Linked DNA regions of Astyanax mexicanus. The protein of the gene in region 2 purifies or fractionates together with the protein of the main gene of each other region. This does not show direct contact. Links are inferred from orthologs where the notes say so. Each region holds a gene or a part of one and is shown on either strand. Other genes may lie near its edges.

What was found.
Region 1: the proteins of ddx20 (region 2) and gemin2 purify together in Homo sapiens (affinity purification with mass spectrometry; 6 studies listed by BioGRID and IntAct, counting the BioPlex papers as one, with this or other methods). This does not show direct contact. The link is inferred for Astyanax mexicanus from reciprocal best matches to the Homo sapiens genes DDX20 and GEMIN2.
Region 3: the proteins of ddx20 (region 2) and gemin5 purify together in Homo sapiens (affinity purification with western blotting; 6 studies listed by BioGRID and IntAct, counting the BioPlex papers as one, with this or other methods). This does not show direct contact. The link is inferred for Astyanax mexicanus from reciprocal best matches to the Homo sapiens genes DDX20 and GEMIN5.

Annotation. Positions count from the first base shown.
Region 1 is NC_064421.1:1,231,234-1,234,989, forward strand, and holds the start of gemin2 (gem-associated protein 2), read left to right. Parts: upstream 1-1,313; 5' UTR 1,314-1,409; coding exon 1,410-1,525; intron 1,526-3,053; coding exon 3,054-3,138; intron 3,139-3,240; coding exon 3,241-3,330; intron 3,331-3,756. UniProt on the Homo sapiens protein: The SMN complex catalyzes the assembly of small nuclear ribonucleoproteins (snRNPs), the building blocks of the spliceosome, and thereby plays an important role in the splicing of cellular pre-mRNAs.
Region 2 is NC_064419.1:43,219,928-43,223,683, forward strand, and holds the start of ddx20 (probable ATP-dependent RNA helicase DDX20), read left to right. Parts: upstream 1-1,022; 5' UTR 1,023-1,081; coding exon 1,082-1,277; intron 1,278-3,756.
Region 3 is NC_064424.1:17,794,098-17,797,853, reverse strand, and holds the start of gemin5 (gem-associated protein 5), read left to right. Parts: upstream 1-1,276; 5' UTR 1,277-1,410; coding exon 1,411-1,552; intron 1,553-1,646; coding exon 1,647-1,801; intron 1,802-3,079; coding exon 3,080-3,261; intron 3,262-3,351; coding exon 3,352-3,506; intron 3,507-3,643; coding exon 3,644-3,742; intron 3,743-3,756. Other genes in the region: mrpl22 (39S ribosomal protein L22, mitochondrial), read right to left, coding at 188-230, 321-348. UniProt on the Homo sapiens protein: The SMN complex catalyzes the assembly of small nuclear ribonucleoproteins (snRNPs), the building blocks of the spliceosome, and thereby plays an important role in the splicing of cellular pre-mRNAs.

The DNA.
Region 1 (3,756 bases), on a different chromosome or scaffold from region 2:
GTTCGATCATATTACACCTATTCTTTCATCCCTACATTGGCTACTTGTTAAATTTCGTATAGATTATAAAATACTTCTCCTGACGTATAAATCCCTCAATGGTCTGGCCCCGCATTATCTACAGGAACTCCTTACTCCTTACAATCCGCCGCGTTCACTCCGCTCCCAAGACGCTGGCCTGTTATTAGTCCCGCGTATTAGAAAAAACTATGCAGGAGGAAGAGCGTTCTTTTATAAAGCTCCCCAACTTTGAAATAGCCTCCCTATTAATATACGGGACTCAGACACACTCTCAATCTTTAAATCTAGACTCAAAACATTTCTATTTGCTCAAGCTTTTGAGTAATGTCTCATTACAATTTTCTTCCTCTTACAGCTTATCCAGCAAATATAAACCCTGTCCTAATCATCTGCTTTCTCTTTCTCTCCCCATGTCCTGAGCTGCTGCTACCAGTGCCCATCCCACTCCAGCAGAGTTTTATAAAACCATTCTAACCCCTTTTTCTTCCCTTTTTCAGCCCTGTCCTTCTACTCAAAAATCAGAATTATTACACAACCCTTCTAACTCTTGCTTTTTGTTTCTCTTTCTTTCCTTTCTGTTTTCTCTATCTATCTCTTTTACATGTATGGAGATGCTGTTCCTGATGTTCCCAGCCTGGCTCTCCACTGCCCGCTGTGTTGTTCTCCGGCTCTGCAGCCCTGCACTGATTACCATTAACACACTCAGTATCTGTTTCTGTATTAGCCATAGCTCTATAGTTTGTGCCCATCACATTCTTATATTCATAAATTAGTACCTGTTATATTAGCCATAGTTCACATTAATTCTCTGTACTGTTTTGTTCTGTTTGTTGTTTGTTGTTTGTTTGTACTGAGCGGGTCAACCCGAGTAGGATGGGTTCCTCGGACTGAGTCTTGGTTCCTTCCAAGGTTTCTTCCTCTTAAAGGGAGTTTTTCCTTGCCACTGTGTCACCATAAAATCAGCATCTCTGTGGTGCTGCTCATAAGAGGCGTGGACCTGTTTTTCCTGTAAAGCAGCTTTGTGACAACATTTGTTGTAAAAAGCGCTATATAAATAAAATTGAATTGAATGTAATTAACTCTTGATGAGTTCAGCACAGCTGTTAACTGAAAGACTGAATTCCAGGTGACTCTACCTCATAAAACTAACTGAGAAAATCCAGCAGAGATGTTCAAAACTGATCATCTAAACAAGAGGAGCTACTTAGTGATGTGTGTATATGAGCTGTGCTGCAGTAGCGCGGTGTGTCCTGCAGGGGGAGGTAGTGGTGGTGTGTGTGTGTGAGCTGCAGGCGGAGAAGAACAGTGTGAGGTAAACAGTAGCGGGAGAGCTGTGTGTGTTGAGAGCAGGTGAGTGTGTGTGTAGAACAGGTGAATAGAGGACAGGGATGGAGGAGCTGATGCCCAGACTGCTGCCGGTGGAGCCGCGCGCGCAGGAGGAGGAGGAAGGATACACTTTAAAGGAGCCGCCGAGGAACCCGCAGGAGTACCTGAGACACGTGCAGTACGAGCTTTTAGCACACACACTCTTATACACACACACAAACACACACAAACACACACACACACAGACACACACACACACACACACAGACACACACACACACACACACAGACACACACACACACACACACACACAAACACACACACACAGACACACACACACACAGACACACACACAGTTGTGTAAGCACAGAAAACTATAAACACTAGTTAAAGGATATTTATATCTCTACTAAAAAAACAGCGGAGAAATTAAAATAATGTATATTTTAATGTCATCATTTTATGGACTGAGTGCTACTGATTGGCTGCTAAAATGAAAATCTGGCTGCCGAGTGCTGATTGGCTGGCACTGTAACTACTGAGAACTGACTGGCTGGCATTCTAACTATTAAGCACTGGTTGATTCTGACCAAGAGCTAAGTGCTAAGTGGGCTGGTATTCCTAACTACTGACTACTTAATAGACTCCGACTACTGATTACTGACTACTGATTAGCTGGCATTCTGACTACTGACTACATTCTTTCTGGCATTGTGACTACTGACTAGCTGTTATGCTCACTACTGACTACTGACTAGCTACCATTCAGACTACTGACTTCTGACTAGCTGCCATTCTGATTACTGACTAGCTAGCATGTGATTCTGACTACTGTCTGGCATTCTGGCAACTCACTACTGACAATCTGGCATTCTGACTACTGACTAGCTGGCATTCTGACTATTGACTAGCTGGCATTATGACTACTGACTAGATGGCATTCTGACTACTGACTAGCTGGCATTCTGACTAGCTGGCATTCTGACTAGCTGGCATTCTGACTACTGACTAGCTGGCATTCTGACTACTGACTAGCTGGCATTCTGACTACTGACTAGCTGGCATTCTGACTACTGACTAGCTGGCATTCTGACTAGTTGGCATTCTGACTACTGACTAGCTGGCATTCTGACTAGTTGGCATTCTGACTACTGACTAGCTGGCATTCTGACTAGTTGGCATTCTGACTACTGACTAGCTGGCATTCTGACTAGTTGGCATTCTGACTACTGACTAGCTGGCATTCTGACTAGTTGGCATTCTGACTACTGGCAATCTGGCATTCTGACTACTGACTAGCTGGCATTCTGAATACTGACTAGCTGGCATTCTGACTACTGACTAGCTGGCATTCTGACTAGTTGGCATTCTGACTACTGACTAGCTGGCATTCTGACTACTGACTAGCTGGCATTCTGACTAGTTGGCATTCTGACTACTGACTAGCTGGCATTCTGACTAGTTGGCATTCTGACTAGTTGGCATTCTGACTACTGGCAATCTGGCATTCTGACTTCTGACTAGCTGCCTAAAGTCTTTATACCTCGTACCCTGGCCTGGATAGTGCACTGTCCTGGGCTAGTTGAAGTGCCCTATGTAGGGAGCATAGAGTGATTTAGGATGCAGCCTCACAGAACTAGTCTGAGTTGTATGAATGTGTGTGTGTGTGTGTGTGTGTGTGTGTGTGTGTGTGTGTGTATCACAGGCGTGAAGCTTCTCTGTGTCCGGATGTTGTTGTAGCTCAGATTGATCCCAAGAAGCTGAGGAAGAACCAGTCAGTGAACGTTTCTGTAAGTGTGTTTGTGTAAGATATAATGATAAGTGTGTGTGAGTGTGTGATATAATGGTGTGTGTGAGATGCTAAACGTGTGTGTGTGTGTGTGTGTGTTTAGCTCAGTGGCTGTCGGACGGCTCCTCACGGATTCTCCCCCAGCCTGAAGTGGCAGCAGCAGCAGGTCAGCAGCTTCTCTGAAGTCAGACAGGTAAAACACTTTTTATTACTTATCTGAGTAAAACAATCACTGAGCATAATAATGGTACAATAAACATTTTTTGTATTTGTAATAAACATTTTTATCAGTGTGTTAAATTTAGTAAATAAATAGAAACTGTCTGAAATGTGTAGAAAAATGTTCTGTAACATTTTGTTTAACATACATGTTAAATAAAATGTTATATAGATGTTCTTCTGTCCTGATGGAGAAGCAAAATCCAAGGTTTACTTTTTACAATTTTGAAGACTTTTATTATGTAAAAAAAGAGTAGATGTAGACCTGCCACAATATCTGTTTTTGCTTGGATTATATAGTGTCCCAGAAATGATTGCAGTAAACAATATTATTGTGATTTTATGCCTCTGATATAATTATAATATAATGGCATAATACTGCAATTATCAGTTTTAAAGA
Region 2 (3,756 bases):
CATATCATACCATCATTTACTTTATTAAATGCCGTTAAAGCAGAGAAAGCACTAGAATATGCAGAACAGTGGGGTATGCAGTAGAATATGCAGGAACAGGGTTTAGAAACACTGCTGTAACCTGACCTCTGTTTATTTGTGGTTCACAGTTAGACCACAGTAAGACCACATGTCCTGAGTAAATACAGGAATTCCAGTCAAATCCAAATGTGTTTTTTTTTTTTTTTTTTTTGTAATTGTATGTTTTGCGCAACTATATAACAACTTATTCAATAGTGTGTCAATGTTTAAACCAGTTTGAGAAAAGTGTAAAGAGAAAGTGAATCTTGCAAAATTAGTTACTTTAAATAGGTGAGTTGGGAATGTTGCAAAATTCATTTATTTTAATAGTTCAGGGTTAGGGTTTTTTAGAGTTTGCTCAAACCTCAAGTATTAAGTAAAAGAGAAGATGTTGATCTGGAGAAAGAGGAAATGTGGAGAGGACTGAAATGAACTGATCTAATCAAGACTGGACTGAGCAAAAGAAAGAACAGGTTAAGAGAAGCAAGACTAGGCATACAGGATATATGAGTAATTCTTAAAGAGTACTAATTGTGTAGCCCCTTAGGACTAATCACTATTTAGGACTAATAAATATTTCCTTCAACAGTTTGTTTCCATGTCATAAAATGTAAAGGTACAATTTAGAAAAAAGTGAATTGTTTACATTATTACATTGTTACATTTTTAAGGAATATATCTGTCCTTTAGTAAAATCTTATGATACTGTTTTTGGGTCACCAACAGTCATTTAGCAGAATTTGAGCAATCCATGTTCAATTTTAAATCCATTGAATTAAAAAATATATAACTTTACATTACAGTGTTAGACATAGTAAAAAAAATTAAAGATTAAAATCTGATTATGATGTGTTGTTTGTAGATATTATAAATCAGGAAATATAGTGTACAGTCTCTATCTAGTGGATATCAGCAGTAACTGCAGCTGCAGTAACTCTCCTCTCCAGCAGAGGCCCTCAGTTCAGCTTCAGCAGTGAAACCCCACAACAGCAGTAGCGGAGCGGAGCGGGGCTGGAGAAGCATGGCGGCGCCCAGGAGACAGGCTGCTCATCAGATAGACAACAGGAAGCGCACTGAAGATGTTCTGCTGTCTGATGGAGTTCAGTTCAGCTCTCTGCTGCTCTCCAAACCCGTGCTGGAGGGGCTGTCCTCCTCCGGCTTCCAGAGACCCTCTCCCATCCAGCTGAAGGCCATTCCGCTCGGCCGCTGCGGCCTGGGTCAGTCTCTAGCTCACTTATTACACTAATACTCACTAATAATTACTATTAATACACTTACTCACTAATAGTACACTTACTCCCACTTACATTTACTAATAATACACTTACTCTCACTAATACTCACTACTAATACACCTACTCTTACTAATAATACACTTACACTTACCTAAACTCACTAATAATACACCTACTCTCACTAATACTCACTACTAATACACATACTCCTACTAATAATACACTTACTCTCACTAATACTCACTACTAATACACATACTCTTACTAATTCTCACTACTAATACACCTACTCTTACTAATACTACACTTACACTCACTAATACTCACTACTAATACACATACTCCTAAAAATAAAACACTTACTCTCACTAATACTCACTACTAATACACATACTCCTAAAAATAAAACACTTACTCTCACTAATTCTCACTACTAATACACATACTCTTACTAATAATTAATTTACACTTACCTAAACTCACTAATAATACACCTACTCTCACTAATAATACATTTACTATTACCTATACTTACTGATAATACATTTACTTTCACTAATACTCACTAATAATGCACTTACACCTACCTATACTAACTAATAATACTCCTACAATAACTTATACTCACTAGTTTTACACTTACTCTGACTAATACTCAGTTATAATACACTTACTTATACTCACAAATAATAAGCTTACTTTCACTAATCATCATCATCATCGGCGGTCACTCGTAATCGAGTATGACTATCCTCCTTCTTAATCCTTGTGGGTCTTCAGATGGGCGTAGAGGCCGATTCTGGACCCAATTATTCTTGTACAATATGGACAAGGGAAAGTAGCAGTAGTAGGTTTGGGTCTGGCCTGCTTGGATGTTGCTCTCTCTTTTCTAAGTCTGTGTTTGACTTATTGGCAATTGCCACCTTATCCTTCAGCAAGGTAAGTCCATCTTTAGAGCGAAGGGGGGTTAGGCAGCGATGGCTGGGGCCATATACTGCTCTTGTGGCATCAAAGAAACTCCTCATATCTCCATAATCCGCATACTGCTGGATCTCCAGAGCCTTCTTTGTCCACCAATGATTCTTCAGTTTCCTAACTTGCATTTGGACGGCTGCCTTCGCTTTGGCATGGGCTGCTCTTTTAACCTTACAGTTGATGTTATTTTGCCAGGAAACAAAGGCCTTATGCTTGGTGTCTATAAGATGTTGAATCTCCGCGTCATTCTCATCATACCAGTCTTGATGCCTCCGTTTTTTAAGACCAAGAATGCCTTTGCAGGATTTCATGATGGTAGAAGAAAGTATGCGCCAGTGTTCTTCAATGTCCTCTGGATACTGTTTGGGCAGGTCAGCACTCAAAGCGTTCTGCACCCCTCTTTCCCGCATTACACGAATAGACATGATGGAGTGAATAAGACGGTGATCAGTCCAACAGTCGTCTGCACTGTCGTCTGTCATTGATCTGGTGTTAAAAACATCATGGCGGTCTTTGGAGCGGACAGTAACATAGTCGATGAGATGCCATAGTTTGGAGCGAGGGTGCATCCAAGATGTTTTGAGCTTAGTTTTCTGGCGGAAGAGTGTGTTAGTGACGACCAGGTTGTGCTCTGCACACTTCGTTAGCAGCAGTAAGCCATTCTTGTTAGAGTTTCCAACCCCTTCTCTGCCCAGCGTACCCCGCCATAGATGGTGTTTTCGTCCCACCCTGGCGTTGAAATCTCCAAGCAGTATTAACTTGTCCTCCTTAGGGACTTTGGATAAAAGTTTGTCCAGGTCAGCGTAGAAGGCCTCCTTTACTTGATCCTGTGCATCAAGTGTTGGAGCGTAGGCACTGATAACGGTGGCTCTCTGACTGCTGACAAGCATCAGGCGCATGGTCATCAGGCGCTCATTGATGCCCACAGGGAGTTCATAGAGGTATTTGACAAGGCTGTTCTTAACCACAAATCCCACACCATGGATTCGCGCCTCGTTTGCGGGCTTTCCTTTCCAGAAGAAAGTGTAGCCACCTTTTTCCTCCTTTAGCTGCCCTTCATCAGCCAGTCGTGTCTCAGAAAGTGCTGCGATGTCAATGTGGAGCTTCTTTAGTGCCCTGGAAATGATGGCAGTTCGTCTTTCAGGGCGCACACTGGTTTGATTGTCCATGAGGGTCCGCACATTCCAAGTTCCAATATATAGATGTTTCCGTTTCAATTTCTGTTTCTGACCGCATAATGGTGATCCTTCTGGACGCGGTATTCCAAACAGGAGTTTTTGAGGCAGGCTATGTTTAGGGTACCTTTTCTAACCCCCTCCCCTGCTGGGGTGAGCAGAGTGGATCCTTAATAGGGCTGCTTAGTCATGGGTGCAGCTGCCGAAATGCTCTTTCTGCCTCAAACCAGGAGCTTAGCGACTGTATTTAACACCCTTCGCCTGTGTGCCAGGTTGTGGCTAGGAACTCCCAGACATCACAATCCTGTTCC
Region 3 (3,756 bases), on a different chromosome or scaffold from region 2:
ATACACATTCAGTATACACGTGTATATACGTGTATATAAACACAGCTGCGGGTCATTTACATGGATACAGCAGATCTAAATTATGGTCTACTTCTCTGTCCTTGATAGCTAACCTATATCAACAGGCTGCAGGACAGGCTAGGCTAGGCTAACTCACTCGCTAACCAAATAACAACAAGCAACAAACCTCGCCTGAATTTGTCCCACCAACCGGCTGAGGAGGGCCGGACCTGCGGAGATGATAAACGCGTTAAAATCAGAGAGAAACACAGCGAGCTGGATCTTTATAAACAGTAAAAGCGCTAGCTCTGTTCACCCACCAGCCACTGACACTGCGGACACCGCCATGCTGAAAACACACTACCGCAAACCGCCCACCAATGTCGCAAAAAGATAGAGGCGATTTAGTTATGAGGGAGAATTATTTTATCCTGCAAAAAAAAAACAAATGAAATTAAATAAAGTCCTTATAAAGAGCACTGAATAACCAAATATATTATTTTCCTTTTTAAAGGATTTTTTGGAATTCCAATGATACCCTGTCTATGGATCCTAATATTTATATAAATTGAATACATAATATATAAAAATAAAAAATACCTTTCTTGCATTTTACCATGGCATTTAGTTTGAACTTTAACTTATAACTTTTTTTATAATTCAAAACAAAATAAATAAAAATTAAAAATATATATTTTTGCACACATGTTAATCATCTAATGTATTACGTTCAATCAATGTTAAATCAACTTAAAATTAATGAACAAGTAAATAAATAAATTCTGACATCAGAGATCTATGTTGTTTTAATGCATTAGTAATGAAAAAAAGAAGAAAAAAAGACTTTTAAATAAGATATTATTAAAATATATTTTGCTATATGGGCTTTAAAGGTGTTAAAACAATATAATTTTGAATTAAACACTTAAATTGTGTAAAAAAAACTTCTTTACATCTTTTGAAGAGTTTCTATTTTTTAATAATTTTATTTGTATATATTATATTATAAGTATATTTATATTTAATTTGTATATGTATATATATATATATATATATATATATATATATATATATATATATATATATATATATATATATATATATATTGTTTCTGCTTAATATATTCTTTAGCCTTTCGCTATTATTGTATCAGACTATTAGCTCCAGTGTTTTGCCTTTGAATATTTAAACTGTATTTATTATTAATAAAGCTTCAATAAGAAAGAAAAAATGGGGAAAAAATTTACACCGGCAGTGTTTGCGACACCTCTCACCGCCGGACGGCTCTCGCTGTGTTGATGGAGAAGCAGCATGTGTGTGAATGGAGCGGTTAGCTTTAGCTGCTAGCTGAACACTGTAACTCACCAGAAATCCTGTTTCTCACCTTTTAAACAGCACGTTTCACTCAGAATGCACGAGAGGCTTCTTCCAGCTTCTCCGAACTGGTACTGCTCCCGCTGCAGTGATGTGAACAGTAGCGGAGTGCTGGGCTTTGGGGCTAAAAGCACAGTTTACCTGCTGAAAGTTACTGCAGACTCAGCTGCAGTTCTAGGTGAGAATTATGTTGTTTACCTTTGGGAATTGAGCTACACTTATTTCTGTATTCATATCCTACTGAAAGTGTCGTTTTTGTTCCTGACCCACAGGAGAACTCAGTGGTCACACAGAGAGAGTTTCTGGCTTTGCTTTCTGTCAGCATGAAGGGCAGGAGCACATCTGTGCCAGCAGTTCAGATGATAAATCAGTGAAGGTGTGGGACACTGAGCAGAAGGCTGTGTTGGCAGAGCACAGTGCTCATCAGGTAGGTCCACAGCTGGAGCAGCGTGTTTTTACAGAAATGGTGGGAGGGGGTTAGGGTACTCTTTACACTCTCCACAGAGACTCACCACACCTTATAAGGTTGTTCTTTATGGCAATTGGAAAAATGGGACAAATCCTAATTCTGTTTATTACATATCTTTGTAATGTAGTTTAATCTAAGAAATTAGTTGTATAGCTAGACCAGGGGTGTCCAAACTTTTTTTGATACATTTTCCTGATTATTTAATTTACACACCATTTTACTTGACTGACTATCTTTATCTTTGACAGTGTTTTTGTAAACTAAGATTTTTCAAATTGATGTTTAATTTCATGATGTCTCTTAATATTAAACTCCTTAATCACGGCAACTTTTAGACTCTTTTGCCCCGTTTTTCTGCGTTAGAAATGCGCATCCTCTCCGCTTTTAGACTCTTTGGCCTGTTTTTCTGTGCTACACTTGAGCACTCTCTCCGCTTTTAGACTCTTTGGCCCGTTTCTGACACCTAGTGTTCAAACTTTGAATCTCACATTATAAAAACCTGCTTAACAGCGGGCCAACTTTCATTCTATTTCTATAACACCTCGCGGGCCGGTCTAAAAAAGGAAACGGGCCGCAGTTTGGACACCCCTGAGCTAGACAAATGGTGTTTGGTGGTCAAAGTGGTTGAAAAGCATACCTTAAACCTGTTAACCAGCTATTGACCAGCACGGTGTACGTTACATTTTTATTTTGTTACATTACATTACATTTTATTATAATTATCAACCAGCTTGGTCTTGTAGGTCAACCTACTTGGTATTGCTGGTTATGCTGGTTGACCAGCTTGGTCTATTCTGGTTGGAAAGCTTTTGTCTGGCTGGCATTTTTTACATTTCCTTAAGTTATTGTCCAAATGCAGAAACTATAGTGAATTATTTGGTAAATATCTTGTGGGATCCCACAGGGTTCTATTATGGGACTAATGAAACTAATGCCAATTATGATAGTAATGTAGTAATGAGGGGGATGGCACAGAGTGGTCCAGCAGTCTAAAGTGCTACCACTATGTTTGGGAGATCACTCTTTCCAGTCCCGGTCATGCAGCTTGCCATCAGCTGCCACAGCCCTAAGAGAGCACAATTGTATTTGCTCTCTCTGGGTGGTTAGATGGTGCTCTTTCCCCTCATCAGTCCTAGGGTGATGTTGATCAGCACAAGGCATCTGTGAGCTGATGGATCAGAACCGAGTCTATTGGAGTAATGTGCTGTGAAATGTGTTTTGTGTTTGTTTGTTTAGAACATCATCACCTCCCTTCATTGGTCTCCAGTGGAGAAGGGTCTTGTGGTGTCAGGAGACGAGAAAGGCATTGTGGTATGCTTTTGGTATAGCAGGAATGACATCCACAGCTTCTTCCCTGAACCCAGAACCATCTTCTGTTTAGCATGTTCCCCACACAACGAGAACCATGTTGCAGTTGGGTAAGTGTCATACCACACAAAATGCAATGGTAAAATGTTTTTTTCCTTTCATGTCTGTCTGAGGGAGAGCTAATGGCATTTTTCTTTAAGGTACAAGGATGGAATGATTGTATTGATCGATATTAGCAAGAAAGGAGAGGTAATCCATCGGCTTCGGGGTCACGATGAGGAGATCCACGCCCTGGCCTGGTGTCCTGAACCCAAGGAAGAGGATCTGTACTGTTTTAGACCAGCAGACAACACTGGTGCGTGATTTGTTTGATGGTGGATGTTATAATGAGAATTTTTAGATAGATGATGTAGGTAAATGCATCAGGCAAAATATCAACTAAATCCTAGAAAAATATGCTTCACACAACTCAGCTGTGCTTGTTGTCAACAGATGCATCAAATGGATTAACAGAGATAGAGGGAGGAGGCTACCTTGCTTCTGGGAGTCGAGATCAGACTGTTCGAATCTGGAGCACAGCACGAGGCAAAGGTGAGAAAACCTTA